Linked DNA regions of Astyanax mexicanus. The protein of the gene in region 2 purifies or fractionates together with the protein of the main gene of each other region. This does not show direct contact. Links are inferred from orthologs where the notes say so. Each region holds a gene or a part of one and is shown on either strand. Other genes may lie near its edges.

Evidence for each region.
Region 1: the proteins of epn1a (region 2) and phgdh purify together in Homo sapiens (affinity purification with mass spectrometry; 3 studies listed by BioGRID and IntAct, with this or other methods). This does not show direct contact. The link is inferred for Astyanax mexicanus from reciprocal best matches to the Homo sapiens genes EPN1 and PHGDH.

The regions. Positions count from the first base shown.
Region 1 is NC_064418.1:37,501,517-37,517,528, forward strand, and holds phgdh (D-3-phosphoglycerate dehydrogenase), read right to left. Parts: upstream 8,793-16,012; 5' UTR 8,741-8,792; coding exon 8,567-8,740; intron 7,532-8,566; coding exon 7,380-7,531; intron 6,945-7,379; coding exon 6,879-6,944; intron 6,604-6,878; coding exon 6,549-6,603; intron 6,360-6,548; coding exon 6,261-6,359; intron 6,169-6,260; coding exon 6,036-6,168; intron 4,907-6,035; coding exon 4,758-4,906; intron 4,614-4,757; coding exon 4,461-4,613; intron 4,322-4,460; coding exon 4,183-4,321; intron 3,877-4,182; coding exon 3,749-3,876; intron 2,626-3,748; coding exon 2,406-2,625; intron 2,268-2,405; coding exon 2,113-2,267; 3' UTR 1,446-2,112; downstream 1-1,445. Other genes in the region: protein CFAP210, read left to right, coding at 10,905-10,959, 12,048-12,256, 12,370-12,543, 13,096-13,301, 13,455-13,611, 13,759-13,898, 14,041-14,233, 14,727-14,891 and 1 more. UniProt on the Homo sapiens protein: Catalyzes the reversible oxidation of 3-phospho-D-glycerate to 3-phosphonooxypyruvate, the first step of the phosphorylated L-serine biosynthesis pathway.
Region 2 is NC_064413.1:7,062,200-7,078,211, forward strand, and holds the start of epn1a (epsin-1), read left to right. Parts: upstream 1-6,562; 5' UTR 6,563-6,797; intron 6,798-13,223; 5' UTR 13,224-13,348; intron 13,349-14,219; 5' UTR 14,220-14,252; coding exon 14,253-14,321; intron 14,322-16,012. UniProt on the Homo sapiens protein: Binds to membranes enriched in phosphatidylinositol 4,5-bisphosphate (PtdIns(4,5)P2). Modifies membrane curvature and facilitates the formation of clathrin-coated invaginations. Regulates receptor-mediated endocytosis.

The DNA.
Region 1 (16,012 bases), on a different chromosome or scaffold from region 2:
ATTATATTTATTTGTACAAGAGAAACAACCAATGCCATTGCATGACCTTCAAAGAAACGTATGTAAATGTACATATCCCAAACTTACCAAGTGTTGTGGAAGCAAATATCCTATTGAGACGAGAGCACGGTGTGATTCATGGCCAGTGTTCCTCAGATGTGTCTCTGTCTGGGATAGAGGAGACATATGGCCCCTTCAGTTCAGCCCCAGTGCTGCCCTCCTATTTTGGTCACTGTGTATAGTTGGAGAGGCGCTGCTGATTCCACTCAGGCTCACAGATAATGTCAGCTCCAGCTGACCGCATTCTCAAAGCAAACGTGAGCTGTGGAGCTACATAAACACTACACACTATAAATCTTTTCCTAAAGAACTGTGACTGCGCTCACAGAGCTCTCCCCAGTTAGTCACTATGGTAGAATCGGATCTACTGTTAATCCTAATAAGGATTAAGAACATTACATAATGTGGCTTTTAAAGTGAGACAGTAGCGAGAGGAGGCAGACACGAGGAGTTAATCCTTTCTGCACATTTACATTATCATTTTAGGAGAAGAGGACATCCTCTGTTCCCATTCATCTTTACTTATTATGGTATTAGTGAGCTGCGTAGACTGTGCACATTACGGAGCAAGAATAACTAACGCCAGCTGTGGCCTTGGAGACTGAGTGTATGTCTCAAAATGAACAGGGCCAAAAAAAAAAAAAACATAGCCAATTAAGTACTACAGTTTCCTGAGCTAAATAAAAAACATGATTTTAATAATTCAATATTTTCTGTCAGACAATTGTGGTTGAAAGAAATAAAAAAAGATTTTTGTGTCGATTTCATAAAGACACTGTGCCTGGTTAAGCTGAATAAATCTTATCTGGTTAAATAAAATAGATTTGTTTCTAAATGTTTTATGGATGTTTATAGATAGAGACTAGTGTATGCCTCAAAATCAACCAAACACAGACCTGTAGCTAATTAAAAAAAAAAAACAATACATTTTATTATGGCCTATTGGTTTTATTCAAACATTTAAAACATTGTTAATAGAAAACAAACATTTAGTTTTCAAATTGTTTGAGTTTGCATATGTTTAGTAGTGGTCTTACATATGAACTTCACTGACATACATACATGTACACATTGACTAGTAGAAATTTCAGATATGTGCAACTAGATTTTTTACAAGCAAATACATAATTAAAGATAAGAGTGTGTGACAATCTGTGAGAAATTAGTGGTTACATATGACTAATCAAAATGACACTAAGGATATGCAGTCTTGGTAAAATGTCTAGTTCGAATGGCTTTATAGATCTGGTATTACTGTAAGTAAACATTTTATAGCTGATCTCTAAACTGGGAGTTTATATTAGAAATACTGCATAATAAACATTTAAGCATTGTGAGATGGATTTTTCAGCAGGGCCCTTTCATTAAATATCATATTCAGAAAATGTTCTGATCTGATTTATTCCTTTTAGGCTTTTGTACAAATATGGGGTGTTCATACCAGTACAGATTCAGTAATTCTGAAAACATGTTACATTTTCACAGATGCTACATTTCACACTGACATACTACCTTTTGTCATCAAAACTATTACATTAGAAAGAAATGTAAAACAGAAGTGGTCTCAGATATTTGAACTCCACTGTACCTTATAACATTTAGAAACGGACAAAAACACACCTAAATTAGCATTACAGTGAACAAATGTTAAATCCATTTTTTTTCACAGTAACTCATCTGCCCTTTTCTAGTAAAATTAAAATATCAGGCGAATGCTTATGACAATTATATGAAAGTATGAGATTGTTTAATCATATTATTATCCATTATTTTTGGTATTGGGTCATCTTCACAGTAGTAAACAATGTTTATTAGATTACAAGCTTTAGAGTTTTCAGATCTTTAATCAGATAAAATATGTTGTGCGCAAACAATTACAGTTCCTATATTATCATTTCACATATGACCAAAGCTAGTGTTTAGCCCAACATAGGCAAGGCTCTTCACAGTAAACACTATATTGCAGTAATGTTACGGTCATGCTAGATTTCCATGTTAGGCAATGGAATGCTAAGGCTAAGTAATTCCCAGTAACTTTCCATTAGTATGGATTTATACAGCAAGTTGTGCAGCCTCCTTCACCACGGATTTCAAAGAACCAAGATCTCCCAGCAGGGACTGCATTCCCACACAGTACCACTGCTCACCATCAGAGGCAGTGGAGGCACTGAAGTAATTCATCTCAATACCAGCTCCAGCCAAGACCCCTGAAGAGGAGAAACAAATATTGATATAATGTGAATTTTGAACACCTTTGAGATTTTTATATAATATGAAAATAGAAGAACATGATTTATAATAATAGGAGTCAATTTATTTAGTTAATTTTAGGTCAGTTAACTTACCAGTAACAGACGGCAGAAGCTGAGATGATGCTGCAGCCTTAAAGAAGAGCAGGTTTCCAGAGAGAGGGATTGGTTGCCGGAACACACTGCCATCCAGCTGGAGCAGGACAGGAACATCTGCCTGTACTGAGCCAAGGGCTTTATAGATGCTTCCATTCACAGAGACCTCCATCATACAGGCACCAGCAGCTTCCTTTGTGTCACTGTGACTTTTTTTAATCTGTTGGGTGAAACCAAATAATATAGTTTAATTCAGTAGTTTAGGTAACTAAGTTACAGTAAAGCTAAACTAACTAAACAAATCTATAATTCTTAAAAAAAGAACATTTTCTTTTAAAGTCAATCGAGCTCTGGAAGTTAATGTACACAGATTTCTCTTCAGAAAACTGTTTATTTAAGTGAGTAAAGTGCTTCATTTTATTTAAAGTAATCTTAAATTGTCAGATTTCCATTAAGGCTTGGTAAAGCAGCATTAGCAGCGAACAGTAAATGCCACCCTACAGCACTACACTGAGGAACCCAGAGTGTTCCGGTAAGCCAGGGATATATGAGCTAGCGGTTTTACCTACGTAGCATGTAAATGCACAGACTACAGTCCTATATATTCGCCTCTGAACGGTGAAAGAGCTAGAGCATAGCGTGGTTAGCGGCTAATTTTGCCCCAGCAGTGCTATCTGGAGTTAGCAGCAGACTACAGGCAGATAGTACTCACTTCTGAACGGCAAAAGAGCATTAGCTCTTAGCGGCTAACGTTGCTTCAGTCTTGGTGTTCGAAAACTAAATTAAAAATCCAGTACAACAGCGCACTTGAGCGGAGTGGCTTTACTGCTGCTTACAACCTGACTGGTAAAATTTATACATTTTTGGGGAAATTAAAGGATTTTAAATGCAACTTATAGTGCGGAAAATACTGCATGAGTATTTTTGTACTTGTTAATACGGATTCAGATACCTACTAAAATTAAACAATCAGAAGCAGTACAGAATTGTGTAGATGTTGGTGTAAAGTAGTAGTTGCAATGCAACAGTTAATTTGTTAATTTTACAGGATCTAATAAGAGCGGACAGGTTTCCCTTGGCAGTTCTACTACTTTACCTGCATTTTTTACATCATGTGGATACACGTTGGATGTATGAACTCTTTGATATCAAGGTGGACGCAGTGCTTCATGAATTTTGTTGCGCTAATTAGTTTGCTGAGCTTATGGGTTTAAAGTACATGTTGCTAGGAGATTTTTATGCATCCTTAAGTTTAAATGTGCTTTATTCAAATATGTGGTATGGTTTATAAGACTATAAGCAAGGGGTTGCATCATGAACATGGAATTGAAACACATCCTTACTTTAATTCCAGTTTCTTCAGCTAGAGGCAGTGCATTCACCAAGTTAGGGCCATTCCCTGGTCCTTCTGTCAGCAGTCCAACAACAGCTGCTGAACTCAGGAATCCAGCTGATTTCTTTAAACAATCACCTGGAGGCAAACATAACTGCATTCCTTTTTACATGTTCCTACAACAACATTCCCTCAAATAATATTACTAAGCAATTTCTGTGTGTAAGCAACCATGCAGTACATAGACCATTAGAGGGCAGTATTTAACCAGTAATGAAACTTTAATGTCCAACTCTCTACAGTTGTGGAATATCTTCTCTCACATATATATTTAATCTGGATTAAAAAAATCTAAAAACTGCACTTTGATTCTTTATGTAGTTACTAAGCATCTTACATTTAAATGACATGCAGCTACCAGAAATATAGAGGTCAGAAGCCCACCTTGAGTTGTGATGTGCAAATGACCATAGGGTTGTTTGGAGGAGCTGCAGACCTTCAGCACTCGTCCCATGGCCTCACCCAGCCTGATCCACTGCTGCGACTCAGGGGTAAAGGTGCTGGCCAACACCTGGGCATTTACCTGGGTGAGAATGTAAAGACAATCAGGACTGGCATTTCTTACTAAATGCCTAAAAAAAATAAAGATAATAAAGTTATTTTCTTTGGCCAAAGAAGTAAAAGTTGTTTTTCACGACGTTCCCATTTCTGGAAATACTCACAGCTCCCACCAGTGCTTTGCATTTGACCATGTCCACAATCTGCAGTGCTATATCCTGTCCACAGCGAGCCTGGGCTTCCTTTGTGCTAGCTCCCAGATGAGGGCAGCAGATCACATTAGGGTGCTTCACCAGGGGCCAGTTCTTTGGAGGCTCCTAAATAAATATTATAGAGAAGCACAATCTCATATTTCTCAATAATTTTACATATATTTTATAAAAATAGCATCACACAAGTGTCTGGCACTAAGGATATATGATTTGATGGATACATTAACAATAAATAAATACTAGCCTCACCTCCACAAACACGTCCAGGCCAGCTCCTCCGCACTGGCCAGACTCTAGAGCTCTGAGCAAAGCAGCTTCATCGATGATGCCTCCACGGGCACAGTTCACCACCTTCACACCCTTCTTACACTTCGCAAAGGAGTCATCATTCAGTAAACCTACAATAGATCAGGCTTTATCTGTTATTTTGTGATTAAAAGGCCCTTATCCATTACATGTATGTGTTTTTTGTTTATTGATTTGTTTTAACCAGACTTCTAACCTCTTAATTTTTTTTCAGGCTGTTTATGAATTAGGGCCTTTAGGACAAGTTTATGTACTGTAAATGACATTTATTTCTGTTCTTATTTCTTGTCTACCATATTTTTTCCGGATTATAAGACTCATTATGCGACACTAGTAAGAAACAGATGTGTTGCCATGTTTTTCTTATAATTCAGCAGGTATAAGTTAAGTAAAGATAAGCTTAATTAACAAAACTAATTCTAAAAAAAATATTTTTCTTATAAGGTCAAACAAGCACTGGTTGTTAATCCACACAGATTTCTCTCCTGAAAAACATTTATTTGGGTGAGTAAAGCACTTCTGTGTATTTACAGTAATCTTACATTTCCAGATTTCCACTAAGGCTGGGTGCAGCAGCATTAGCATTAACGATCAACAACAGCACTAGAGTGAGGTATATGCCACTCGACAGCGACAGGAACCTTGAGTGTTCTGGCAAGTCAGGTCAAAATTAGCAAGCGGTTCATCCCATGTAGCTTGTTTTAATACAGAAAATGCACAGACTACAGTCTGATTATACTCCTATTATACCTCTGAACTGCAAAAGAGCTAGCACTTAAACTCCTGTATAACGCTGCACTTCAGCAAAGTGGCTTTACTGCTTCTTACAACCTGACTGGTAAAACTTATACATAAGGCACACCGGATTCTAAAGCAAATTTAGGAATTAGGTGCGTCTTATAGTGCAAAAAATACTGGTGAAATGTGAAAAGGCAGATTTGTAATCAATATATAGCAGTTTGTGAAGTAACAAAACATTATATTCAAAGTGGGCTGTTTTTGCGCCTTAGTTTCCATTTATAAGACCATGTGGAGTCGCTGACAAAATAACATTACCTGCTAAAACATCCATATGGTTTATGTACCACATCAAACTCTTGATTTGAAACAAAAAAGAAAACTGGTTTTCTGTTATAGTACCTCAATAAAGCTGAGACATCCAAAAAAATAGGCCAACAGAACTGACCTGAAACACTGATCTATGTTTGAGTCAATTCTCACCTGTAGTGGAGGGCATGAGAGGTGTGTGTACCGTGATGTAATCACACTGGGGCCAGAGCTCCTCCAGAGACATCTGTTCCACTCCCCAGCTAGCAGACACTTCTGTAGGGGTAATGGGGTCATACCCAATGGTCTGCCAATAAATAACACAAGTCAGCACTTCATCCATGGACATGTTTGGATAAATCACTAAAAATGTTCAGAACACAGAAGAGAAGATCTTACCCTCACACCAAAAGACTGCATTCTAGTGGCCACTTCTTTCCCGATTCTTCCAAGCCCAACAATTCCAAGGGTTTTTCCATACAGCTCTGCACCCATGAACTGTAAAATCATTAACAAAACACTGACCCACCTACCCTAAAAGCCTGCATGATGCAACACATCCAGTAGTCAGACCCAGTTAGTGACGACTGGGTGCACACAGACAACACAAAAGCATCCGTAATTACTGTCCACACCAACTACCTCAAAACAGCCCATCACATAAAGACTCTACTTCAGTGTGTGTACCTTCTTACGATCCCAGTTTTCTGCTTTCATGGACATAGCAGCTTGTGGAACATGTCTAGGAATAGAAAAATATGTGGCCTTGAGTACAATAATAAAACAAAAATATGCAGTTTCTGATTAGATGGTTATCAAAATGTGTTTTCAGGGTTAATTTTTTTATACACTGTATTATAGTATTTATTAAAAAAAAGAAAGAGAAAAAAAAATCAAAATAACATAACCTAAACCCACAATCTGCAAAGTGTTCACTGAAAGTATCTTCATCAAAATGTTGTTAATGTTAAAATTTTTTTTTTTTTTTTTACTATACTCTAAAATTGCTTCCCATACCTTGACAAACTCATCAGAAGAGTGCAGGTCAGTTCAGCAGCACTGATGGTGTTGCCACTTGGAGTGCTGTAAAAGAAAAGTAAATTCACTCTATGCGTCAAGCACTGTCAACACACAAAATTGCTCACCTTTGTAAACAATGGCTCAGGCTGTTCCTAGTAAAACCTGGGAATTGGTATTTAAACAGCTCACATCAACTGCTGCTTAGTACAGTCAAGCTCTTAAAAACTGACTCTAGATCAGTCTTCTTTCTCCTGAAGTGTTTAGTGAATACAGACCTTGAAATGCCGGTTTAGCAGACAATGGGTGTTATTAAATTGAACATTCAGATCCAGTAAATAAACTCTTTCACCAGACAGATGGAAGTTCAAACCAGAACAGAGCCAATAAGGAAAATACAGATTATATACCACGAACATGCTGGGAAGGACTTTTAATTTCTTAATCTAAACGTTTGCCTCTATTCCACACATACACCCTGTAATAAAGATGTTTATTTACTTCATGACTATTATGCCCTTCTTGGTTGCTGCATCCACATCCACGTTGTCCACCCCGGTCCCAGCTCTGCCAATCACCTTCAGGTTGCCAGCAGAGGCGATGATGTCAGCGGTAACTTTGGTCGCGGATCGAACCACAAGGCCATCGTAGTCCTGACACAGATGGGAGAAGAGGTCAGTTCGACAGGTCAAGCTAAGTCAAAAAGTCACGGCCTGTAGATAAAGGGTCACAATGCTGTGATTTGTGGACATATTCCAAGACTTAATGCCCTAATTTTAGACAGTTATTTGGTAAGTGGAATAGTTTTTTTGTGGTAATGACGTAGTTGTTCAGTTTCTGCAACGTTGTCCAAGGGATGCACTGTTTATGTCTCAATTGTGTCCCACTCTTATTGAGAAAACCTAATCATCAGGCAAAACAATGCTTCTTGGTTTTAAGACTACCCTCTAACAACCTCATTCAAATTCAAATCATATTTCATTACCTGACAATGTAGTACGCCCAACTTTTTTGGTTCCTAGTTGAGCCATGTATACAGGCCCCACACATAAGTGTCTTTCTGGCATATTAATACAATTATTTATAATATAAAAACTATATACACTCACTATTGCATGGTATGTAAAACTTGGAATTTATTCCAAGTCATTTAAGAACATGTGTTGGGCCATTTATCATTACATTTGTAGATAATGTACACAACAACTACTACATTCTGATCATGCCAAAAAGTGAAAAACTGAAGGAAAAAAAACCACCAGCCTCTCAATGAGAACACAATTATTTATATGCAATTCTGGTTGTCTAAAAACCTTTTTTTTCTGAAGAATTAGCTCTTCTGCCATCGTATTTTCACCAACAACATAACATAAATTTGTATAAAAATGCAAATGCAAATGCTGGACAAATCCTAGGCCTCTTCAGCCAAGTCCACAGTAGTGCAGTAGCAGACAGACCAGCATGCAGGTTTGGGACTTGCAGCCACACCAGCAGTGATGTTACATCAGCCTCATGAGGAGGCGCCAATGGCGGTGCAGCTCAGCAAAACTGATCCAGCAGCTCCAACCCCGAGAAAACCGGCTCAAAAAAAGTTTAGAAAAGTCTCGAGATGAGCAAGGCACGCGATATTACAAAATACAGCGCATGCTCAAACAAAGCGATTCACAAACAAACCGAATCTCACTTACCTTAATCTGGGAAATCAGCTCATCTTTACTCATATTCTGTTTCTCCGTCACCTCGATCCCGTTCTCCTGCAGGATCGCCCTGCAGCAGGGATCCACGCTCTCGCTGATTAAAACGCGTCTGATTGATACCGGGGCCATTTCTCCTCTCTCTGGACGTAACTCGCAGAATCGCATGAGACTTTACGTGGCCGGGCTTTGAATGAACGCTGGGGAGGGACGCAGGAGTGGGAGGGGCCTGGCTGAAAGGGCCCACAACAAATCAAGCAGCACTAACAAGAGGGACTGGAGGTGCTTACTAAAGTACTAATTTCTGTAACAGTTCTTTTAATGTAATATAACAAAAAATGCATTATATTCTGCAGTCTGAATTTTTTAAGCATACATAAGGAAACATACATGTAGTTATATATAATTAAATAATTATTATTTAATCATTTTTTTCAATAATAATAATAATAATATATATATATATTTTTTTGGCACGACACCACTTCCCTCTTTGGGGGAGCAATACTACTTTATTATTCATTTTTTTTACAACTTATTTAAATTTTCAACATGTAGATAGATAGACACAGCAATCATTGTAGTTGAGCATTTAGCAGATATAGTTGGGGGGGGGGGGCAGAGTTGAAGGGGCTGGGGAGAGGCAAAGAGAGTAAAAAAATGGGAACAAATAGAAAAACAGAAAAAAAAAAATAAACAAACAAAAACAAACAAACTAACACTTATTTATACATACATATATACAGCATATGTATATCCAAACAGTTTTTTTACATATGCCTTATTTTATGGATACATGGATTACAACAGAAGATCAGCATGCAAAATGTTCCTGGTCAGCATAAAAATAAACTGTTCCTTATGCTCCTACTATACACAAAGTTGATGTGTATTATGATGTGTACTATTATCAACACTTAAGACCGGAAATAGCTGTAGTTCAATAAAGTGAAAAAGTGAGTGTGTTACTTAGTCAGCTGTTGTACGCTAAGTACCAAATTTGACCCATGGTGAACGCTTTTAAAGAGTAATGAAAGTCACAACCATGGAATAATGTTTGACATACTTTCAAACATCTGACCAATTAGGACATCACATGACCGCTCTCCATTCCCTTTTTTGTGCATGCAGTCCCGCTTTTAAAACCCACATTTTAGAGACTGTGCTCCACAAAACAGACTTTTACTCAACTGACTGAGTTTGCTTATGTATTTATTCATTATTAAAATAATAACTCTATGGTCGAAAATAACTAAAATACTACAACAGCTTATTGCACCAGATAATTGACCAGATGATTCCTTAGCAACATGATTCTCAATATGAAGACTATGCAACAACAGAAAAAAGAGAACCAAAGAAATGAGAAGAAATTTCTCTTGAAAAAATTAGAAACTTCGGTCTAATACGATATTAAGATGGTGAAGCATGCTGTGTGTCCTGCGCTACAAGTTAAATTCTTCAGTAGATTTTTTTGGTCTTTGCTGATGTAAAAAATTGCAGAAGGCAGTAACTTCTTGCTGAGGGCAGGTTGACAAAGCTCATATTTCTTTAACAAATTAATTAAAGGTAATAAAAACACCATTCTTAATTATCTATTTGGATTGGATATATTTTGATATGAGGTATTTTTTATTGATTATTATTGATTCAGTTTATTTTCTAAATTTCCTTATTTCCTTAATACCTGAATTACCTCATCTGGTTCATATTTTTTATTTTGTATCTTATTTTGTGTACTTGCTGTAACTTGGGAAGGCGAGTAACATAATTTTAATTCCCTGTATGTCCTGTACATATGCTGTATTGTATAGTTGTATAGTATAGTTGAGTATTTCTTGCCATAATATGGATTAAAACATTACTCAAATAAAGATATTCACTTGAATGCCAACTCTACCTCTTCACAACTTTACAACTGATGCTCTCAAACACATTAAAGACATTCAGGTAATTAACTTTTGACAAGTTCAGCACAGCTGTTAACTGAACCCATTTCAGGTGATTACCTTATACAGATGACTGATATATACATTTATAATTTGCTAATATTTAGTTAGGAACTATTGTTTTTTCCCCTCGCGTTGTTGTTCGCGTTTCCGTGAGGTTTCCTGCGAGCGGTCTCGCGAGGTTGCCAAAGGAGACGCTGTAAATGCAAACACAGTTGCTAGGCAACACGAGTAGTGGGCCAGGACATGTTTGCCCAGATTCAGAGTGCAGAGCTCGGTCTGCAGAGAAGAAGCAAAAAAACTCAAAGAAACTGGATCTAATGACACATATTCTTATATGTTCATATATATTCACAGATACTGGTTTAAATTAATCTGCCAGCATGACCACCGTTTCTACAGTGCAGTATGGCCGGAGGCAGGGGTCGAGCAGGAAAGGTCAGTCACAGACCTCAGTTCTTTTAAATCTCATTTTTATAATACCAACTAGATATAAAATGCTACATTGTTACCACTGTGCAGTAAAACCCTTACGGTTAGTAGCTTGTTTTCTTAATAACTAAATCAGGAATGCCAAAATATTTCACAACTTCGGTAACAGTTGTAGCTAGTGGCACTCTCTCTACACTAGATAAGTTATTCAGCATTGTATATAGATCTGCATCCTACTTCTTTTGGTGATATGTATCACAATATAAATAACAATCACATTAATCAGAAGTATATAGTCATATATTTTAGAAAAACAAATAATACTGGGTAGAAATGCACCGGTTTTCAAAACATTTTAATTTTTTCCCACCACTCTATAGGTTATATGCTATTTACATAGCAGAAATGTATATTTGTCATGCTTCTCAAATGAAGGCAGAAGGCAGTAACTTCTTGCTGAGGGCAGATTGCTCTGCAAAGTTGACACTTTAACAAATTAATTAAAAATAATGAAGAACAGCTCTGATCTTATTTCTTAGTCTTTTGTCTGATCTAAATCAGCTGTGGATTATTCAGCAAATCAGGTGCCAAATGGTATTGTCTGCATTCATGCACATAAAGCACTGTTTGGTATAATTTATTAGGCCCTTTCACCTAATTTTGGTTGCCAAATATTCAGTGCATACCTGATATTGGTAGGTGGAAAAGGAAAATGAGACTGAGTTTTGAATTGAGAAATGATACATTGTTGAGAAATGATACACTGTGTAGGCCTAATCTTATTCACAAACATTGCTGCAAACACAAACCTTAAAATTGGGTTGTTAAATAAATATTGTACTGTCTTAGATTTTTTATAAGTATAACTATATAAGATGCCACCCCCTTAAGAAATCTGGATGTATTTTGTATTGTTCAAATATTAGTATCAGTAGCATACAAATTATATTGTTGTTGTCTTGCATGAATTAAGGAATCTGAAGGAAAGGAAATGAAGGGATTTTTGTTGGTTTTGTCATAAATTATAAAAAAAGTGTCAAAAAACTGAGTGTGATGGTGATTGTATATTATTATTAACTCCTTTTTAATCTAAGTTCACTCAGCAGAAGTGCAAACTGGGCCTAGACAACCGATAGATCTTCTGCAAGTGACAGTCCTACCCAGATCAGAATGGCTGCGTCTCCAGGACAGTCTGAATCAAGTGAACAAACACAAGGACAGTCTGATAGAAGCAGCAAAGCAGAGGGAGGCCATGCACTTGCGCTCCAAAGAGGTGGTGAAAAACTGGACCAACACTATTGCTGTAAGTAACTTTTTTATGAAATCTGTATCTGTATATTTAACTTTAAATAATAATCCATATACGTGCTACTTTGCTGAAACACCTCTGGAATATGACCCATCATATGTTTATAGGGGCAACGTCAAAAAAAGTTGGAGGCAAAGAAAATCAGAGAAGAGATCGAAGAGGAGGAGAGGAAACGCATTGACATAGAAGAAGCAAAGTATCAAGAGCAGAAAAGAAAAGAGGCCATAGAGAGGGCAAAGACTCAGCAGTATTATCAGACAGACAGAGTGAAAGGATTTCATGTTTGTATATCTATATTTATAAATTATTGTCTTTTATTTCTCTTTGTGTTTGGCTTAGCTGTATACATGCCCATTTAGTGTAAGCATCCAAGCTGAGCACCAAATTTTTTGGATGTTATCAGTTTGATTGGAGGACGTGATGTTGGATGACCTAAATTCAGCATCAGGACATTGTTTAATACCACAATTTGTTTGACAATGAGGACTGGGGACATTTGTTTTGAGGTCACAAAAAACATCTGCTAAAATTCATGTTAACATTCACACAATGTGAAATTCTAACGTTATCAGACATTGATATATTTTTTATTATATAGTTTTGGTGGAAAGTAACCAAATGTCAACTCAGTGTTTGTTTTTGACATATGTGATTTCCAATTTTAATTTCCAACCCATTTTCCAATGTCTTTCTGGCAACAAATTGGCATCCTGTGCCTGCCATGAATAGTAAAAGTTGCCAGATGCTACTGATATTCTGCAAATTTGAAAAAGTTTTCATAATTGTAATTTTTGAATCAAAATATCTGTTTTTAATCTTAATTTGTTCATTAGAGTGCCCTGTTGCTGACTGAGGTTTTGAAGGAGAGGGAGGCACAGATTGAGCTGAGACGACGAGAGCAGAATGCCTCTAAAGATGTGGATAAAGAGGTCTTGGCAATGATTGCACGCAGAGAGGAGGAAGCTTCACAGATAGAGGAACAAAAAGCCCTGAAGAAGAAGCAAGAGTGTCTGGCAGTGGCAGAGAGTTTAAAGCAGCAGTAATGTATAAAATAAATGGACATACAGATGTTTATGTTTATTAACTGACTATGAAGTGACAGATTGAAGAATGTGGCAAAAGCAGTTTGTTAGGATTAATCAAAGTCAATAATAAGTTTTTGTAAAAAATCTAAACTCTTAATCCATTTTAGGATTAAGGAGCATGATCACACAAAGGCATGGGAGAAAATGGAAGAGAGGAAGGAGGCAGAAGAAATCCAGCGGCTCAGACAGCTTTTTTTATGGGAGCAATCTATGCATGAGCAGAACAAGCAAGAAGAGAAGAGAAACATTATGAGAGCTCATCAAGTATGTCTTAAACAGGTTCCACTTTAGCAATAGTTTCTACTATTAATTTATGATAGCAACAGTGAGAAGTTTCAGCAAATTATAGTGTTTGTTTTTTAAGTAGACCAGAGTTTCCATTTTGGAATATATATTTTTGAATGTTGTCAGAAACACCTGGCTGATAGGGATATCATCCAAGCACAAGAAGCTCAGAAGCAAGACCAGGAAGAGGAAAATCGAAGGCTTTTTGCTGAAGCTAAAGAGAAGATGATGAAACTCAGAAAAGAGAAAGAAGAAATGCTGTTTAGGTATTTGATATTTTAAACATTTTATTCAGTAATATAGATATTTTGTGTTTATTCTTTTTATTTATCTACATTATGACAAATAATTTGTGATGACAAATTTTTATTTTAGAATCCTGTACTTATATCTAATTATCTGTGGCAGAGGGATGCAGAGACACAGGGAGGCCATTATTGAGAGGCTGGCAGCACAGCGTCAAGAACAGACCAGCAATGAGGAAGAGCTAATCTCTAAAGCAGTGGCACAAGCTGAGGCCAAGCGGATTCGGCAGCAGCGTGAGATGGATGGGAAGAAAGCAGCTATGGTGAAGTCCATTGCTGCACACAGAGAAGCTACGGTAAATGTTATTTTAGAAGAAAGAACATGTCTGAAGCCCCTGAGTGACAAACTGAGTGACATTTTTGAAATGAAATGTATTGGCATTTCCTGACCTTTTTTATCTAATTAATAAAAGCAAAATCATCACTTTAAAGAAACATCATGCAGCAATTTAACCAGCACTGCTAATGTATCATGTGACTTTGGTGAAACTGCATGAGACGGTTCACAAAATCCAGTAATGCGGAGTAAATCATATATCTGTAAAAATGTCTATACTCCATACTCCATACACTGCCATGGGCTTCTTTTACTTTAGATGCAAGTTCTGTATCTCTCAGCTCTTAAAAAAATGCAAGTGTACTGCTGTCCATGAAGCATGAATTGTATTTGAACTAGGGAAATAAATGTAAATTACTCTCTTTACCTATAATCCCAGTACCAAAAGAAAACTCTGCTGTCAAGATATAATTCCGCTGTTACGTAACACTGTCCTAATTACTTAATTTCAGCTACAAGAGAAGGAGCGCATAGATCATGAGGAGAAACAAAAAGCTGCTGAGTCACTTGCTGCAAAAAAGGAAGCTGACAGCATTTTTCTTGAAAAGCAACAGCTTAAAGAGCAGAAAATGAAAGAATATGCCAAAACACTACAAGATACCTACGTTCATCAGATGGTGGGTACAATTTATTTATTTTTTCCCCCCAGTTTGATTCTATTGGAATTTAACATGACTTTTTTGTTACCTAGGTTGAGAAGCGAGAACTGGGCAAACGCATTAAAAAAGAAGATCAGAAGTTTGAAGCCAGCAATGTAAAACTTATAGTAGAGGAGGAGATGCAGTTTCAGCAGTATGCCAAGCATGTGATCCAGACAGCCAAGGCGGCCCAGAGAAACACCTACCCGCTTCACAAGGCTGCCAAAGAGGGCATCGGTGGAGGACTGGGTCCTGTATTTGGTGGTGTTAGGCCAAGTTATCTTGTTCATGATGAGTCTGGTGCTCAGATGCCCAATTATGTTAGCGGTACTACTCAAGATATAAAGGAGCTTAATGAGACCATTGACATTCAGCAGTCCAAGAAACGTTTGGGATTTACTTGGTGATGATTCTGAGCAATATGATGTTAAATGTTATCTGAAGCCATTGTCCAAATAATAAACGAGAAATTAGCTTTAAAGTTAACATGTTGGTTAAGTGTTCTTTACATGTATTGTATGGAGTAAGATCAGTATTGCAGCCTGCTGATTGCATGTATTGCATAATTGTTTTTGTAATTTTTGTCATGGGTATGGGTATTGTAAACCCATACAACCAATGCATTTTAGTTTTAAGTTTGTTTTCCATTAACCTATACAGCTTCAAATCTATTCAAATTTATATTAAATGAAATGTATGTATAGTACTGTTGAGGTCACAAAAAAAATGTTGCTCCCAGGATATGCAGACCAAAGGCTGCAGTGGCAAGGAAAGCACTCCCTCTAATCACGAGAAAGAAACCCTCCCATGTTAAAAAACAAAAATAAATTGATTCAAATCACTGTATCACCTCTTAAATATGCTATGTTTATAGTGGTGCTAAGAATAATGAAAAATTATGATGGTTAGCAGTAATAAGAGTTTTAAATGGTTTGCATCCATGTGTCAGTCACAAAACAGAATTTCTCACCAGATTAACTGTGCCCAGAGTCTAGACATTACTATTGGAAAGTTTTGACTTTGGGTTTAAGGGGACATATTACCCCTGCCTATAGTACAGGTTTTTGACATTTGGAAAGATTTATTCACGTTTGATGCAT
Region 2 (16,012 bases):
AAGGAAAGGATTGAAAGGCACAGGATGCTTCTAAACTATAGATCAGGGGTCGGCAATTAAGTTTGGCAGCGGGCCAGATATTTTCCAAGCTATTAATGGCGGGCCACAAAAAAATAATTATATTTTGGAAAATTAAGTGTAATGGGATGGAGAGCTACAGACTAGTAGCTCTCCAGCCCAGAGGGTTGTTGAACCCAATTGCAGAACAGTTGAATTGAAATAAGGTAAACCCAAGAAGAACGGAAAAAACACACACTGCTCCTTACGCGGGATCGAACCTGTGTCGCCACTGTCGTGGTAAAATAAACTACCACTGCCCCGACTAGTGAATTGGGACACAGCCAGAAAAAAAAAAAACGCCCTCATAAGGAGCACAAGAATGGGTGTAAAAACGAGAACAGGTGGAAAGTATAGTCACGCCAAGCGCGACAGGGAGAGACAGGGGAGGAATGTAAGCAAAAGCTCACCAGAGAAGCGTTTTACTGTATTATTATCGTTCATTATAGTTCAAACAAACTCACGGGCCAGATGTTTCATGCTTGCGAGCCACATCTGGCCCACGGGCCGCATATTGTCGACCCCTGCTATAGAATATAGATTTTCTCTGATTTACAGCCTACAATGTTGAGGCCAGGTAGTTAATCATAATACATGATCTATAAGCAAGTTTACCTCAATATAGCTTGGGAGGAATGACTACACACTGACAGTGAGTCTCTGAAACTGGAGGAAACACCCAGTATGCAAATGCATGGTATCTGAATCCAATGGAAAAGAAGCTGCAAGTAGCGACAGAGTAAACTTGAGCTGATTCAACATAAAGATCACATTTAAATGTATATGTGGCCACAAATGTTCATCTTACACAATGGTGGCATGTCTGTAATTGGCTGATTGGCATGCACTTTAGATACTGTGGACTAATTCAACAAACTTGATACTCTTTTTCTCTCTTTCAGCGGCCCACAAACAGAGAGGACCACCGGGAATTTTCTCTGTACTCCCAATGGCTAGTCCCATCCCTGTTCAGATGCAACTTAGCAAACCTTGGGACTCCAATGCATATCTGCAAAGCAGGTCACAATGTGGTCCTATGTAGCTCTGAAGAACCATTTTTTGGGCAAATTTCCAGAATTCAATGGGTTTTTAGTGTTGACACGGTTCTATACAGAACCATACCTGTTTTTACTAAAGAAGATGTGAGGAACACTGTACACAGAATGCTGGGAGGTGGTGCCTACAGACTCCTGGAAAATGGACAGAAATGGCTCTTCAGATCCTCTCCAGAGGCTTATCTGCAAAGCTCTAACAATCCAGTCTGTCGCTTCACACCTCCCACTCCCACTTCTCTTTTTGACCAAACCTGGGCATTCTGTCACTTGTTTGAGTGACAAAAGCAACAGCTGAAATCTCACCTTGCGGAAAGGCTAGCTGCAGCCCCCCGCTGGCCTGGAGCCAAACCCTCCTCCACCCTCTGCCAGTTTTCATTCTGTCTATTTTTCTCCCTCCGCATGTCTCAACACCTGCCTTTGCCTTCTCGAATGGATTTCCCATGATACAAACATGGCAGGGCCACTTCAGCTTACATAAGGCAAACAGTCCCTGTTATCGCGACCGTGGCCATGCAGCTTTCTGCAGCTGCCCCCCTCGCAAAACATGCTGTGATACGCACAGCGAATGGTCAAAAGTTGCACAGTAGGTGCTAGAAATTATCAGCCCAAGAGTGTGCATGTGAACCATCCCGGGCAGCGCTACATGAACTCAGTGAAAAGTGCTGTGGTATTAACACTGTTAATAAGACTCAGAGGCTACTGACTCGCACCAAGCAAAAAATGAGAGCGAAAGCCATGTTAAGTGTCTGAACTGGGTTGTTTCTTTAGTTTTATGCAGGAGCTGGAAGGCTATTGTAGCTAACATAAGCTTACAGTCATAAGCAGACATCCCACCCTGTTAGAAGCTGGTATAGAACATCTGTAGAACGACTGTTGGTGTCTGTCTAGGTTGTTTTCAGTCAGTGGCGCACCAGTGTTTTCAGTTGACAAGATATCAATACACCAAAAATGTACCTGAACACACCTTACTTTCAGACCACTACGCCCACTGGTGTAGATATATTCACAAGCACCATTGCTATTTAAACGACACAGGGCAAAGGCGTGAAAATAGACCGTTTGCAAGGTGTAAGATAGCAATAAGCATTGTAAGACGATTTGCACAGGGTGTAAGATAGGGTCAAAAGCAATCTAGGCAGACCTCAACAGTGCTGTGATATGAACACTGTAAGATTCAGAGGCTACTGGCTCGTACCAACCAAAAATGAGCTTTCCCTCTTTGTATAAACCAGAGAAGGCCATGATAAGTGTTTAAATTGTTTTTTTTTTTTTTTTTTGGTTTTTATTTTATGTTTTTATGAGCTCCAAGGCTAATGTAGCTAACAGAAGCTTACAGTCATAAGTAGACATCCCACCCTGTTAGAAGCTAGTATAAATAAGCTTCTGAATATAGCAATGAACATCTGACTCATGGCGTCTCTTTAGGTTGCTTTCGGACAATGGCACACCTGTGTTTTCAGTTGCCAAGATAGCAATACACCAGAAATGTACCTGAACACACCTCATTTCCAGACCACCACGGCCACCGGTGTAGATGTATTCACAAGCACTGTTGCTATTTAACCGACGCAGGAAAATAGACTATTCGCAGGGTGTAAGACAGCATTGAGCATTGCGACACAACTTGCGCAGTGTGTAACATATGGCCCAAAGCAATCTAAGCAGACATCAACAGTTAGATGTTCATTGCTATCTTGGCGTGCACAATGTACCACCACTGCGCTTGTTATCCACACATGCAAAAGCAGCAGTGCACAAACCCATACCATGTGCCAAAATACATTATTCTGCATCAACAAAAATATAGGTCACTGTAATATAACTTTGGTAAGTGTTAGCTAACCATGCAGGCCAATTTCCTCTGCAGAGAAGCACCATTTAAATAGCAAAATGTCAGAGTGCACATGGCTCTCAAAAGGAATGGCAAGTGAAATGCTGATTTGCTGGTTTATTTCACATTATGCAAAAAAGGCACCCATGATTAATTAAGAAAATTTGTGCATGCCTCTATCTATCTACTGTAATCTATTTTGAGAGTTTATCATTTCCTATACTTTTGCAAAATTTCATATAAACTGTGGATTAGATACAGATGTTGATATTTTGTCTCATGTTCATCTTTTAATGTCAAACCCAAATGATATTAGTCTACAGCAGAAGTAGAGGGGTTGGTTCCAATACTTTTCGAGGGGACTCTATACTGCTGTCGTTGAAGTTCAGCACATCCACCTGTAGCCAATTTGTTATTCTGTGTTCAAGGTATACAGTGTTCCTAGTCCCCAGAGATCTGGACATCTCTTGGAAACATAACTCGATTTCACAACTCAGTTGAACAGCGAACAGTGATTTAAGTTACTACTACAGGCTGTCCTGGTCCGTCCCACATGTACACTTCCATGTGTAATGTTATTTCAGCTGCCGAAGGAACATCGCGCACCAGTAGAATGTCCAAACTGACCCTGCATTAAAATTAAGATGTTTTCCCATGACAGCAGTGATGATATACGCTCTCCTAAACTGAGCAGGCCACCCTCCACTTACAGCAGCAGGACATCGCCCCGAAGTGGACACTGTGTGCTACAGCAGAAGATGACACTTGTGGACAAACGATGGAAGGTGTTTATGTCAGATAGTCATACCACAGAATCCTTGCACAACAATAGTTTAGAGTTACATCCACCCCCCACACCAACAAATACCTAGCTTTAAAAAGCCTGAATGCAGCAGATTGTTTTAGTCCATGTCAGAATTACTTATGACAGGTTATACGTCTTTAACCTTTGGTTAAGTAGATGGCAGGCGGCCTGTGTGCAGGCATGGCTCTCAGTCGCTGCGTGCACTGCACATTTTTATATTTTCTTCAGCCCTGACTCAGCTCACACCATGCTGGATGATCTGATGAGCTGAGTCAGGCGTGTTAGTGGAAGGCTGTGAGATGGGAGTAACAATGACTGGCTCACAGTCTAACCGTGTGATACACTACGCACTATACTGTTAGATTGTATATGTTACTCTTTTCCAATATTTTTATTTATTTCGAAAACAGTTAAAACACAGACTCATTTTGTTCTTATAATGCAAAGCTATATTATCGTAAACATCAAAAAAAAAAAAAAGTTGCCATCTGGATTTAATTAAATAAATGATCTGGAGTTGCTGCAGTTGGTCTGCAGGTCTGGGTTCAGCAACAGTATGTGCTGATAGAATGAGGTCAGCTGACTACCTGAATATACTGAATATAGACCAGGTTATTCCATCAATGGATTTTTTTCCCCCTGATGGCACAGGAATATTCCAAGATGACAATTTCAGGATTCATGGCATGAGATCCATATTTTTACATTTGTTTTTACATTTATTTTTACATTGTTCACCACAGAGTCCAGATCTTAACCTCACTGAGAATATTTTGGGATGTGCTGGAGAAGGCTTTGCAGACTCTTCCATTATCATTGCTGCAAGATCTTGGTGAAAAAGTAATGCAAAACTGGATTGAAATAAGACTTGTGACATTGCATCTCTGCACAGATTATCTTAATACTAGGCTTCATACATCTGCTATGTACTTGCTGGAGTGTGGGCACACGTGTGCAGTTGTGATGGATCACAGTATAAATAGTACCAATAGGGTGCTGGAATGGTATATGTTTATGCTCCATATCCAACACAATCAGATTCTCTCTATCTGGATGGAGAGATGTATCTCCTATAGTTAAGTCATTTTTACCTAAGTAAGGTAACAAAGTATTTGTACTTCGTTTCTGGGCACCTCCGGTCATGGCACAAATTCCCAGGTGTGCCTACAGCTTGAGATACAGGCCAGTACAGTACTTGTATTTGCCCTTTGTTAGTAATGGAATGTGAAGTATGCTGGAATAGGACTTCCAGTAAGCCTGGGCAGAGTTTTCCGACCCCTGCACATGCTAGCCTTCACCCTCCCTGGTTTGGTGAGCCCCGCTAGATGATTGATAAATTATGGGAAAAACAAAACAATGTAAACTATTTCCTGAGTAAATGAGTGATACTGTATTTAGTCCGACAGGAACAGGAAAGTTTTTTTTTTTAACAGTGTACCATCATTGATTTGTAACAAGTTTTAAGCATGATGCAAATGCAAGTTGGTTTTATTAGTTGCCATAACAACAAAAAACTTTAAAACAAACAACGACAGACAAACTAGTAAACAAGGACTAACAAAACCAGAAACAAAACAAACAAAAGTTAAACTATAACAAACCAGTAGTCAAACCAACAAACAAACTAAGTAAAGATAATAAACCAGTAACAAAGCTAAATACTATGATTGTTAAACGTAGCATCTTAAAATAATGACTTAGAATATTAGAATTTAGCCTCAAAGCTAGCTAACTCTAGCTACTGCTGTGTATAAGCTAGGATATATCAACCCAAACATATAGCCTTGTTAGCTACATTATTTAATGTGTAATAATCAATAAGGCACATTCTGGTGGATAAGCAGTAATAAAAAAAAACATTTATTGATGTAAAATCAGAAATATACACCAAGAAGGGTGAAACGTAGCCAGCATTGGGTGGTCCTTTTCAATACAATAAATACATCAGCAATTATCAGTTTTTTTCTAAAATAATTTTATTTCTAATTTTTCCCATTTTTCTCCCCAATTTACACGGCCAATTACCCAACCCACTCATTAGGACTCCCCATATCACTAGTAATGCCACAACACACCAGGAGGGTGAAGACTAGCACATGCTTCCTCCGATACATGTGAAGCCAGCCACCGCTTCTTTTCGAGCTGCTGCTGATGCAGCATTGCCGAGCAGCCAGCGCGCTCGGAGTTTAACGGACTTCTGACACAGACACTTACATTATTATTCTGCCACCCTAAAATAAGTAATTATTTTAAGATACTTTCTCATTATTTTTGAGATAAGTTACTTTATTATTTTGAGATACTATGTCATTACTTTGAAATACCATATGTGGTTACTGGAATGTCTTTTGCTTAAAATAAGGACTTAGTATCTATAATTAGCCAACTAGAATCTCAAAAATAATGACTTAGTATCTCAAAAACTTCTCAAAATAATGATTTAGTATCTCAAAATAACAAATTTAACATCTTAAAGCAACTACTTAGTATCTCAAAATAATAAGATAGAACCTCAAAATAATGAGATAACATCTCAAAATAACGAATTGTATGTATATTTTGAGGAATTTAGTGTAGTTTTAAATGACACTGAGCGTAAACAACCTGTTAGCTACCTCTACTTACTGTTGTGTATTAGCTTTTTATGTTATATCTACACGTGTAGCTAGCAAAATTTTTTTGTTATTTACACTATTTAACGTTTAATTATCCAAAAACACGTTTTGGTGGATATATGCTTTAATAAAATAGCACGGACTGCTGTAAAATCATAAATATTAAAGGTGAAAGGCACGGTGAACCGGGGGGTGCGGCCCTTCCGCTGAGAGGGAACGGAAGCGGAATCGCCGCCATCTCCTCGTAGCGAGCAGCTCCAGGGTCAGTACCGAGTTTACTGTGGGAAATACGGTGGATGAACCGCTATCGAGAGCCACACGACACGGGGTACGTGTAGAATGACTGTCAGACGTGTGGCCGGGCACGGAAAAGCGGGTCTGAGTGAAGCGGAACGGCCGCAGACAGCCGTGTGGCGTGAGGTGGTCGCTAAACGGTGAGTGGAATAGGGCAGAGGTGGTGGATCCAGGTCCGTGGTGTGAAAATCCTGCGCCGCGATTTCACTTCTACTGCATGGGCTCGCAGGCTGCAGCGGAGCCGGCCTGGCAGTCGGAGCGAAAACCCGGATTTTTAAACCGCGGACCTGGGTTCACCACTATTGGAATATAGTAGTTAGCAGTACCTATGGTTATCTAACCTTAGCAACGACGGCTAGCTTACGGTTTTTACGTGTTACTCCAATTAAAACTGTTAAAGCGAGTTTAGAATATAGGAGAATTAAGTATAATCTGTTGCAAACTTCCTTTTCAAGCATGTATGCTTTTTGTTTCGTTTTTAATGCTTAGTAACGTTTAAAAGCGAGGAGTGTAGACTGGCTGTGGGTGTGGGGTTGAGCTAACAGCTAATGTTAGCTAGCTAGTGTTGTCAGTAGATAAAGCTATGCATGTATAGCTATGAATATAGATAACGTTAGGTAGGTAAATAGACAGATATATTTTCCTGAGGCTAATTTACAAATTACAGCAGCCCATTGAACAGAAGTGGCAAATATAAGCTTGCTACGTAAGTAGTAAATAAATAAATCTTAGCTTAACTAACGTTAGCCACTAAGGATATACGTTAGAATGTGTAGGTAGAATAAGTAGGTAGAGAAAAATACTATAAAATACAAATACAGCAATATAATAAGAACTACAAAGTGTCCGCTGGAAGCAGTAACGTTATATAGCAGGTAAAGTAACGTTACGTGTGAAAAGTGTGTGTGTATTGTAAACATTCAGTAGGTTAAAACTAACTAACAAGTGTGAGTGAATTAAGGCTGCAAACAATCTTTCCAAATGTGTCAAAACTATTCTCATTCATTACTATTCAGGTAGAATACATAGTATAGATATTAGAGTTTAAAGTACTTTTTCAGTAGAAGGTAAAGTATCAGCTCAAGCTTTTTACTCTTTAAGTAAAAGAGTAAAAGTACTGGATTCAAAACTACTTAAAGTAATAAAGTAAAAGTAATGTAAGGAGGGGAAAAATGACATTAAGGATAAAAGCCACAGAGTCCTATAGTCCTATAGAGTCCTATAATGTTATATTAAAATGTTAATGTTGAACAATTTGGAATGCACTTGGCTCTCTAGTGTTTCAGCTGCATATATTCCTATTGAAAATGAAAGTATTTTAGTACAATGTAAATATGAAGTTCAGTTGGACATCTGTAAAACTCGAGTTCTTTTGAGTCTACATACTCATCTACATACTCATCTACATACTCATCTACATACTAGGCTACATACGTCTGCTATGTTCTTGCTGGAGTGTGGGGGGCGTGACATGATGTGCAGGTGTGATAGATCACAGTATAAACCAATAGGGAGTCGGAATGGTATATGTTTATACTTCTCTACATCCAATTACAATCAGATTTACTCTATCTGGATGGAGAGATTTATCTGGATAGGGCTTTTATTGGACGATGAGGGTCGGAATGAAAACAAGCTGAAATGAAATGAATAACGAGGCTATTTTTAAAATGTAAGGAGTGAAAAAAGTTCAGATAATTGTGTGAAAATGTAAGAAGTAGAAGTAAAAAAGTGATAAAAGTAATTACTTTAGTAAAGTATAGTTAACGAAAATTTGTACTTAAGGAAGGTAACAAAGTGTTTGTATTTCATCACTTTACTATGCTTGCTTGGTTAGTAGTCAATAAATAAATAAATATAACTAGCTACTATTGATATTCAATGTGTAGCTACATATGTAGATAAATAACGCTACAGTAAAAAACAAATACTGCAATTTAATAATAACTACAAAAACAGGTCGGAGTCAACCACTGTAAACATCATAACATGTACATTTTGTGTGTGATAGTTGTAAATATTGGAAGAAAAATATTTTAGAAAACGTGGATACGCTGTGGAAGCTTGTGTAAGCTTTGTGTCTGAGAGGATGCAGGGCAGAAAACTCTTTCCAGTGTTTTTTGAGATCTAGTTAGCTAGATTGCTGTAATAAAGTTGTGTAAAGTTGTTAGCAGCTGTTGTTGTTCTCAGCAGCTGAAGTGAGTTATTAGCTCACTGTTAACATTTCCTGTTTCAGTGCTGTTTGCTCTCCGGTTTAAGGTTTATGTTAATTAGTACAGAGTGAAACGCTGCTTTTGATTTTGCTGGAGCGGTTAGGACTTTGCCCCAGGCATCTCCACACCAACTCTGGAGCCGTTATCAGTGGGCCGGGTTGTGTAATCCTGTTTGTTCAGTGTGTCATCTGCCACTCCTTATCACTCTGACATGTAGTGAGATATAGGGCTGGGCGATGTGACTGAAGGGCAGTGTCACGATACTGGGAGACGATATGTGTCACTGGAGAGTGATAAGTTGGAGCAGGCAGGTCTTACAGTGCTAAAACTGTCGTTGTACACCGCAGTGCAGTTTGGGTTTTTGTGCAAACAAGTGGTTCACAGATATTCGTCTAGCACTAGTTGTACGTCATATGTTGATGCTGTCTCACAAATACCTTTTATCTCTGTTTCTCTCTTAATTCTAACATAATTCCTAACTTCTTAACATAATCTCAGCATCTTTTTACGTTGACTTACATTGAAAGCTAAGATAATTAAGGATTTTTCCTCCTCCGATTAAGCCTGATGTACATTGTGCAATTTCTTGACGTCGCAACCTGTTTCAACAAAATTCACTTCAAATAAATCCATAAAAATTATTTTTTTTGTGGAGTGATGGCCTTTGTCATGTGGGTATCTTGCTTCTAGATATATGGAGAAAAAATATTAAGTATATTTTGCTAAAGTGCTCAAATGATATGTGCAGCCATCTACATATAATATAATCTACACCATTTTAACAGGGCACAAGTTAGCAAAGCTATGCACTTTTTTTTATTTTTTATAATTTTATCTAAAATTTTTCCTTATTTTCATCCCAGACCAAATACTCAACCCACTCATTAGGACACCCCCTTTCACCAATGATGCCCCAACACCCCAGGAGGGTGAAGACTAACACATGCCTCCTCCAACCACCAGCCACCACCTCTTTTTAAGCTGCTGCTGATGCAGCATTTCCGAGTAGCATCACAGCGTGCTCGAAAGAAAGCGCAGCGACTTAGTTCTGATACAACAGCTCACAGACACCATGTGCTGAGCGACATCACCCTTTGGAGGGATTTGGGGAGAAAGCACCATCTACCCTCCCAGAGAGAGCAAGGCCAATTGTGCTCTCTCTTAGGGCTCCTGTAGCCGATGACAATTTACATGAACAGGATTCGAACTGGCGATCTCCTTATGCTATGCGCTTTCTTAACATGTTGTGGTGAACCAGGCGCTTGTATGCAGAAAAAGAGCTGCGTTTGACGTGCAGTGGGAGCTTTTCGCAACGCACCTGATTAAAGAAAAATCAAGTAAAGTGCTAAATAAGTCTAACTGTAAGTAAATAGGTTAAATAAATAAAATATTAATTTGAAAAAAAAGAACAACTTTAATGAGTATGCATCAGTGTCTGCAGTTGTATATTGAAACTTAAAAAAATATATATAATGGGATTGGCTATTTACTACTACCTTAGTACTACTATGTACCTTAACAGGAACTGTGTAATGAGCCATAATTGTGGGAAGTCTTTTCATGTAATATGTCTTGTTATTACTTTGTTATTACCTTTGTTTACATTTATTATACTTAAATATTGTCTTAAATTAAAATAGCATTTCCACATTAGTTCTAGGTTAATTTTTAACAACTGTATTTCTGGTGTAAAAACTCAATGGTTTAATTAGTGTGAGCACTAACGTCATAAAACGGACAAATATCTGGAGGAAAAAAGTGTCTAAACTTTTTTACTTTTCAAGCAGTGTGTTGTAGGGTAGGGCCATGTCTATGTTCTTGCTTCAGCTGTTATTGTGTGAACGTGAGCGTTAGCACTGACCCTCATGCTTTCAGTGTTTGTTGTCCAAACATACAGAATCCAGCGGTCACCCCACAGCCTTGTTTAACTTTCTATAGCTGTGTGTATATATGTGTTTGTATATATGACTGTACAGGGTATATGCACTGATCCACAATCAGTAGGGGTAGTGATGGTTTGGTTCACACCTAAATAAACCCCTCGGTTTGGTACGATGGGTAGAAAAAAAAGAGAGTTATTTAATTCATTGTGCAACTTAGGATGTTTTCACACCTGTAGTTGGTTTCTATGATCCAGATCAGTTGATGAGTTTGTTTACCTGGAGTTTTTTCGTCCTCTGTTTGGTTTGGTTTTACACAGGCGCTATTCTAAACGCACCAAAATGCGCACCAATTAACCACTTGACCACATTGTCCCCTCTGATTGGTCAGAGCTATCTGGTGTGGGAGCAAAAAAGTAAATTTAGCAGGAAGATTCTGTGTTCCAGTGTGTATCTGTGCAACTTAAAGTTGCTTTAAAACAAAACGCTGAAATTTTGCCGCTGCACTTTAAAACAGACGTGCAGATGTTTTTAATGACACATGCAGCGCAGATGTACACTTTGTAAACAGGGAAGAAAAAAATCCATTGATGGAATAACCTGGTATATATTCAGTATATTCAGGTAGTCAGCTGACCTCATTCTTTCAGCACATACTGTTGCTGAACCTAGACCTGCAGAACAACTGCAGCAACCCTAGATCATTTACTTAAGTTAGTACTTAGTTAAATCCAGGTGCAGACTGTATTTCAGCCTAGTGTAGATAAAAAGGGCAAAATATAGTATAGCATCTGAATTTGTTCCCTAATTTCTTCCAATTTGGCTATCCAATTGTCCCACCCCTTTGTGCATCCCCATCACCACTGGCACCTGCGACCCTAGGAGGATGCAGGCGAGCACATGCCTCCTCCGACACGTGTGAAGTCAGTCACCCTTTTTTTCGAGCTGCTGCTGATAAATCATTGCCTGAGCAGCTAGCATGCTCAGAGGAAAGCACAGCGGCTAGGTACCGATACATCCGCTCACAGATGCCTCGTGCCGCCCAGCGTGGGGTTCGAACCTGCGACCTCCCGCTCATAGTGGCAGTGCTTTAGTTAAGAGCCACAGTTAGCATAGCAGGCTAAAGGTGTTTCAAGCTGCTAATAGCTACAGCTTAAGTGTTCGGGGCAACTTGCCTCTGAACTTAGTTTCCGCATTGCGTTCATTGGATTTCACACATTCACATAGACAGTTCCTATATTTCACGCATTCCTGAAGAATACATGTACCGTTTCACCCCTAACTACAGGTATTGACTTAGTATTTACTTGGTATTTGCAGGCATTGGTCACTTTATTTCCCCTCGTTCTAAATGAGATTGTTCACAGTTGACAGACAGACAGACGTTAGAAATGCTTGCTTTTATTACACACAGTGATTAAGTGATTTACTGTTAAGAGGAGAAAGGCCGGATCCATCAGTATAACCTTTGTACTGCTGGCGCTGCATTCAGATCAGATATTGTTTTATGAAGAGATGGAATTTAGATGGGTTGGGAGAAGGTGTTGATTGGTATGGATAGAGTAGGGTAAATATGCAAATATGAAATATTTTTTCATTTCTATAGTGGGGGATAGTGATTTAATGGGGATGAGTATGGATTGGATGGGTATGGGTATATACTAATGATGATTTTAGATTTGAAGATCACATTTTATACATAAATTAAGCTCAGCGTACTTTACAAACTGCCAATATAATTACAAGTCAGAAACTGTTAAGACTTTATATAGGGCACTACAATACTTAGAATAAAAAAAACAGTAATCATAAGAATAAAAGTAATATAGAATTGTAATTTAAAATCATAAAAGGCTTAAAATGAGGTAAAAATACAGAATGTTGTGACTATAAAGTAATAAAATAAATGGATTCATATAAATATAAAAGTGAATACAATTATTAATTAAACCTAGTAAAACCTGGGAAATAAAAAAAATATAAAATATAGTTTACAGAAACATTATCTTTGTGGGCAATAATGTCAGCTTAATTATTGAGGTGATTTCTGACGATAACTTAATTATTGTGGCAGGCTTAATTGTGCTTTAAAAAATTATATAATAAAAGGCACATATTGCTATAGGAATTTATTGTGATAAAATAAGATATTGCTCACTTCTAGTGGTTAAATAATATTTTTCTTTAATTAACAGTAAGGCCAAATCAATCTTTTATGTTATAGCTCTTTATCCTTGAAGCTGTAAAATAAATAAAGAGCCTGTAGGCAGTTAAATGTGTGGAGTCTATTCATGCTGATCATATCTCTCACTGCCTTCAGGCTTCACTCTGTTACTGTTAAATATTCTTTTTAATGAGACGGATGGTCCTGTTTATTTTTATTGCTTAGGTTTTTATATTATTTTTTCACAGTAATGTCCCTCAGATAAACAGCTTTTCTGATGTTCAGTTTGTCTCCTGTGTTTCTCTGCAGTTTCTGATTCACCCCGGCTCGTGTGGGCCCTGATGTGGCCGTGTGGAGGTCTGGAGCAGCGGACAGGCTAAAGACTGACCTGAACACCCACACACTGACAGACAGAAAGAGAGACGCGTGTCCAGGTGAGTAAAGAGATTGAACTGCCTGAGTCTGTTTATATTATAGGTCTGTGTATTAGGGGTGGGTGATATGACCCTAAAATTATATCACAGTATTTCTCTCTGTTCCTCTGTTTGCGTCTCTCTCTTTGTTTTGTGTCTCTGTGTCTGTCTGCAGGCTCTGAGTATATGTGTCTGTGTCTCACTGTGTGTCTGTCTGGGTGTTTGTCTGTCTCACTGTGTGTCTTTCTTTCTTTGAGTGTCTGTATCTCTGTGTGTCTGTATCTCTGTGTCTCTCTCTGTTTCTCTCTGTGTGTGTGTCTCTCTGTGTCTGTCTCTCTGTGTGTCTCTTTCTTTCTCTGTGTGTCTGTATCTCTGTCTCTCTCTGTCAATCTCTCTTTCTGTCTTTCTCTCTGTGTGCCTGTATCACTGTGTCTTTTTCTTTGTCTGTGTGTCTGTCTCTCTCTGTATGTATCTCTCTTTGTGTGTCTTGTGTCTCTGTGTCTGTCTCACTGTGTGTCTCTTTCTTTCTCTGTGTGTCTGTCTCTCTGTGTGTCTGTCTCACTGTGTGTCTCTTTCTTTTTCTGTCTCTGTGTCTCTCTCTCTGTCTGTCTCTCTGTTTCTGTCTGTCTCTCTGTCTGTCTCACTGTGTGTCTTCTTTGTCTCTTTGTCTGTATCTGTGTGTGTCTCTCTTGTGTCTGTATCTCGGTGTCTGTATCTCTGTTTCTCTCTCTTTCTCTCTCTCTCTCCCTCTCTGACTTTGTGTCTGTCTCTCTGTGTGTCTCTTTCTTTGTCTGTATGTGTCTGTCTCTCTGTGTGTGTGTGTGTGTCTGTTCTTGACCTTTGTCTCAGAGTATATTAATGATTTTATTGACCTCGTTTTACAATCTTACAGATTTCACAGGAACCTGATAGTCACCCTGTTGCCATGTCAACCTCATCGCTAAGACGACAAGTGAAGAACATTGTTCACAATTACTCTGAGGCAGAGATAAAGGTGAGCGGTGCTTCTGTTCACTTTTACACAGCGAATATTACTGTCTCTACCTCTCTTAATTAGATACACAACCATTTAAAAGTTTGAGATCACTGGTTTCATTAACACTAAACTTGCTGTAGCTTTCAGATTTTAGGTAATTGGTGTTAATCAGTTGAACTCTAGGAAGGAACTGTAGATGAGTCCAGAATAATGCACAGAGCTTAAGTTCTAATAACATTTAATATTAGGGCTGTTTCTAGGTCCATTATCAATGGCACCCTGTTCTTTAACGATCAGGACCCCACAGGAGAGACCACCACAGAGCTGTTATTATTATTTGGGTGATCAGTCATTTATTCTTAGCACTGCAGTGACAGTATGTGTTAGTGTGCGTTGTGCTGGTACAGACACAGCTGTGCTGCTGGAGTTCTTAAACACTGTGTACTTCAATTAATATTTTTTCCCTTTGTGTATTGGAGATTAGACTAATATAGATAATATTGGCATGATTATGATTACCTCTGGTAGATACTGTATGACATGGAAATCGTAACCTTTTGTATTACGCATCTCATAGCATGAGAGAATATTTTAGCCAATCGTGCAATACCAGATCAATGCTTCAATAACTGTGACTCCATACACACAGTGTGAGAACACAGCAGTAGGTGTAGTGTATATACAGCTCTGGAAAATGTAAGAGACCACTTAAAAATGATGAGTTTCTTTGATTTTACCAAAGTCAAAACCTCTGGAATATAATCAAGAGGAAGATAGATGATCACAAGCCATCAAACCAAACTGAACTGCTTTAATTTTGCACCAGGAGTTGCGTAAAGTTATTCAAAAGCAGTGTGTAAGACTGGTGGAGGACAACATGCCAAGATGCATGAAAGCTGTGATTAAAAACCAGGGTTATTCCACCAAATATTGATTTCTGAACCTTTTTTGTTATTTCAGTAATTTCAAAATCTTCTGCAAATAAATGCTCTAAATGACAATATTTTTATTTGAAATTTGGGAGAAATGTCTTTTGCTTATAGAATAAAACAACAATGTTCATTTTAACTAAATATATACTTATACATATCAAAATCAAAGAAACTGGTTTAGACATTTTTTTCAGAGCTGTATTTCCCAAACTATGATTATTTACAAATGTTGTTGCCTTTTTAGAAGGTATAATTGCTTTGTAATGCCACTCTATTATCATTATTATATCAGTGGCATTTAATGGTCTTAAAATGACAATAGTATTGTTATTGTCACAGGCCTAGCATGACATTGTTAATGTGAAGTGTTCCCTTACATTTGAACCATAGTGTACTTTAACTCATCATGTTGAGTTTGTGATTAAGTGCAGACCATCATTATTTCACTTCTGTTTTTCTGATCTATATTTATTTCCACTCGACAGTAGTCTGAAACTTCATCTTTCATTTATAAGACATGGTTCTGCTTCACTGCCTGGAACTGGTGTTTTCTAATCAGAAAGAAAAAACAGTTTCTAAGTGTAAACCTTGATCTGATCTTTACATTTCCTCACATCGTTTCTGTGTAATAGGGCGTTTTTTTGTATTATTGTTTAATATCTTTATTAATTGTAATTGTAAATTCTAAAATTTGATTTTTTTTCTGAAGATCTGTGTTTTTTAAAGGGGGACTAAACCCCTGGATTTTTGCTGACTCAACCTAAGTTCAAATTTGAA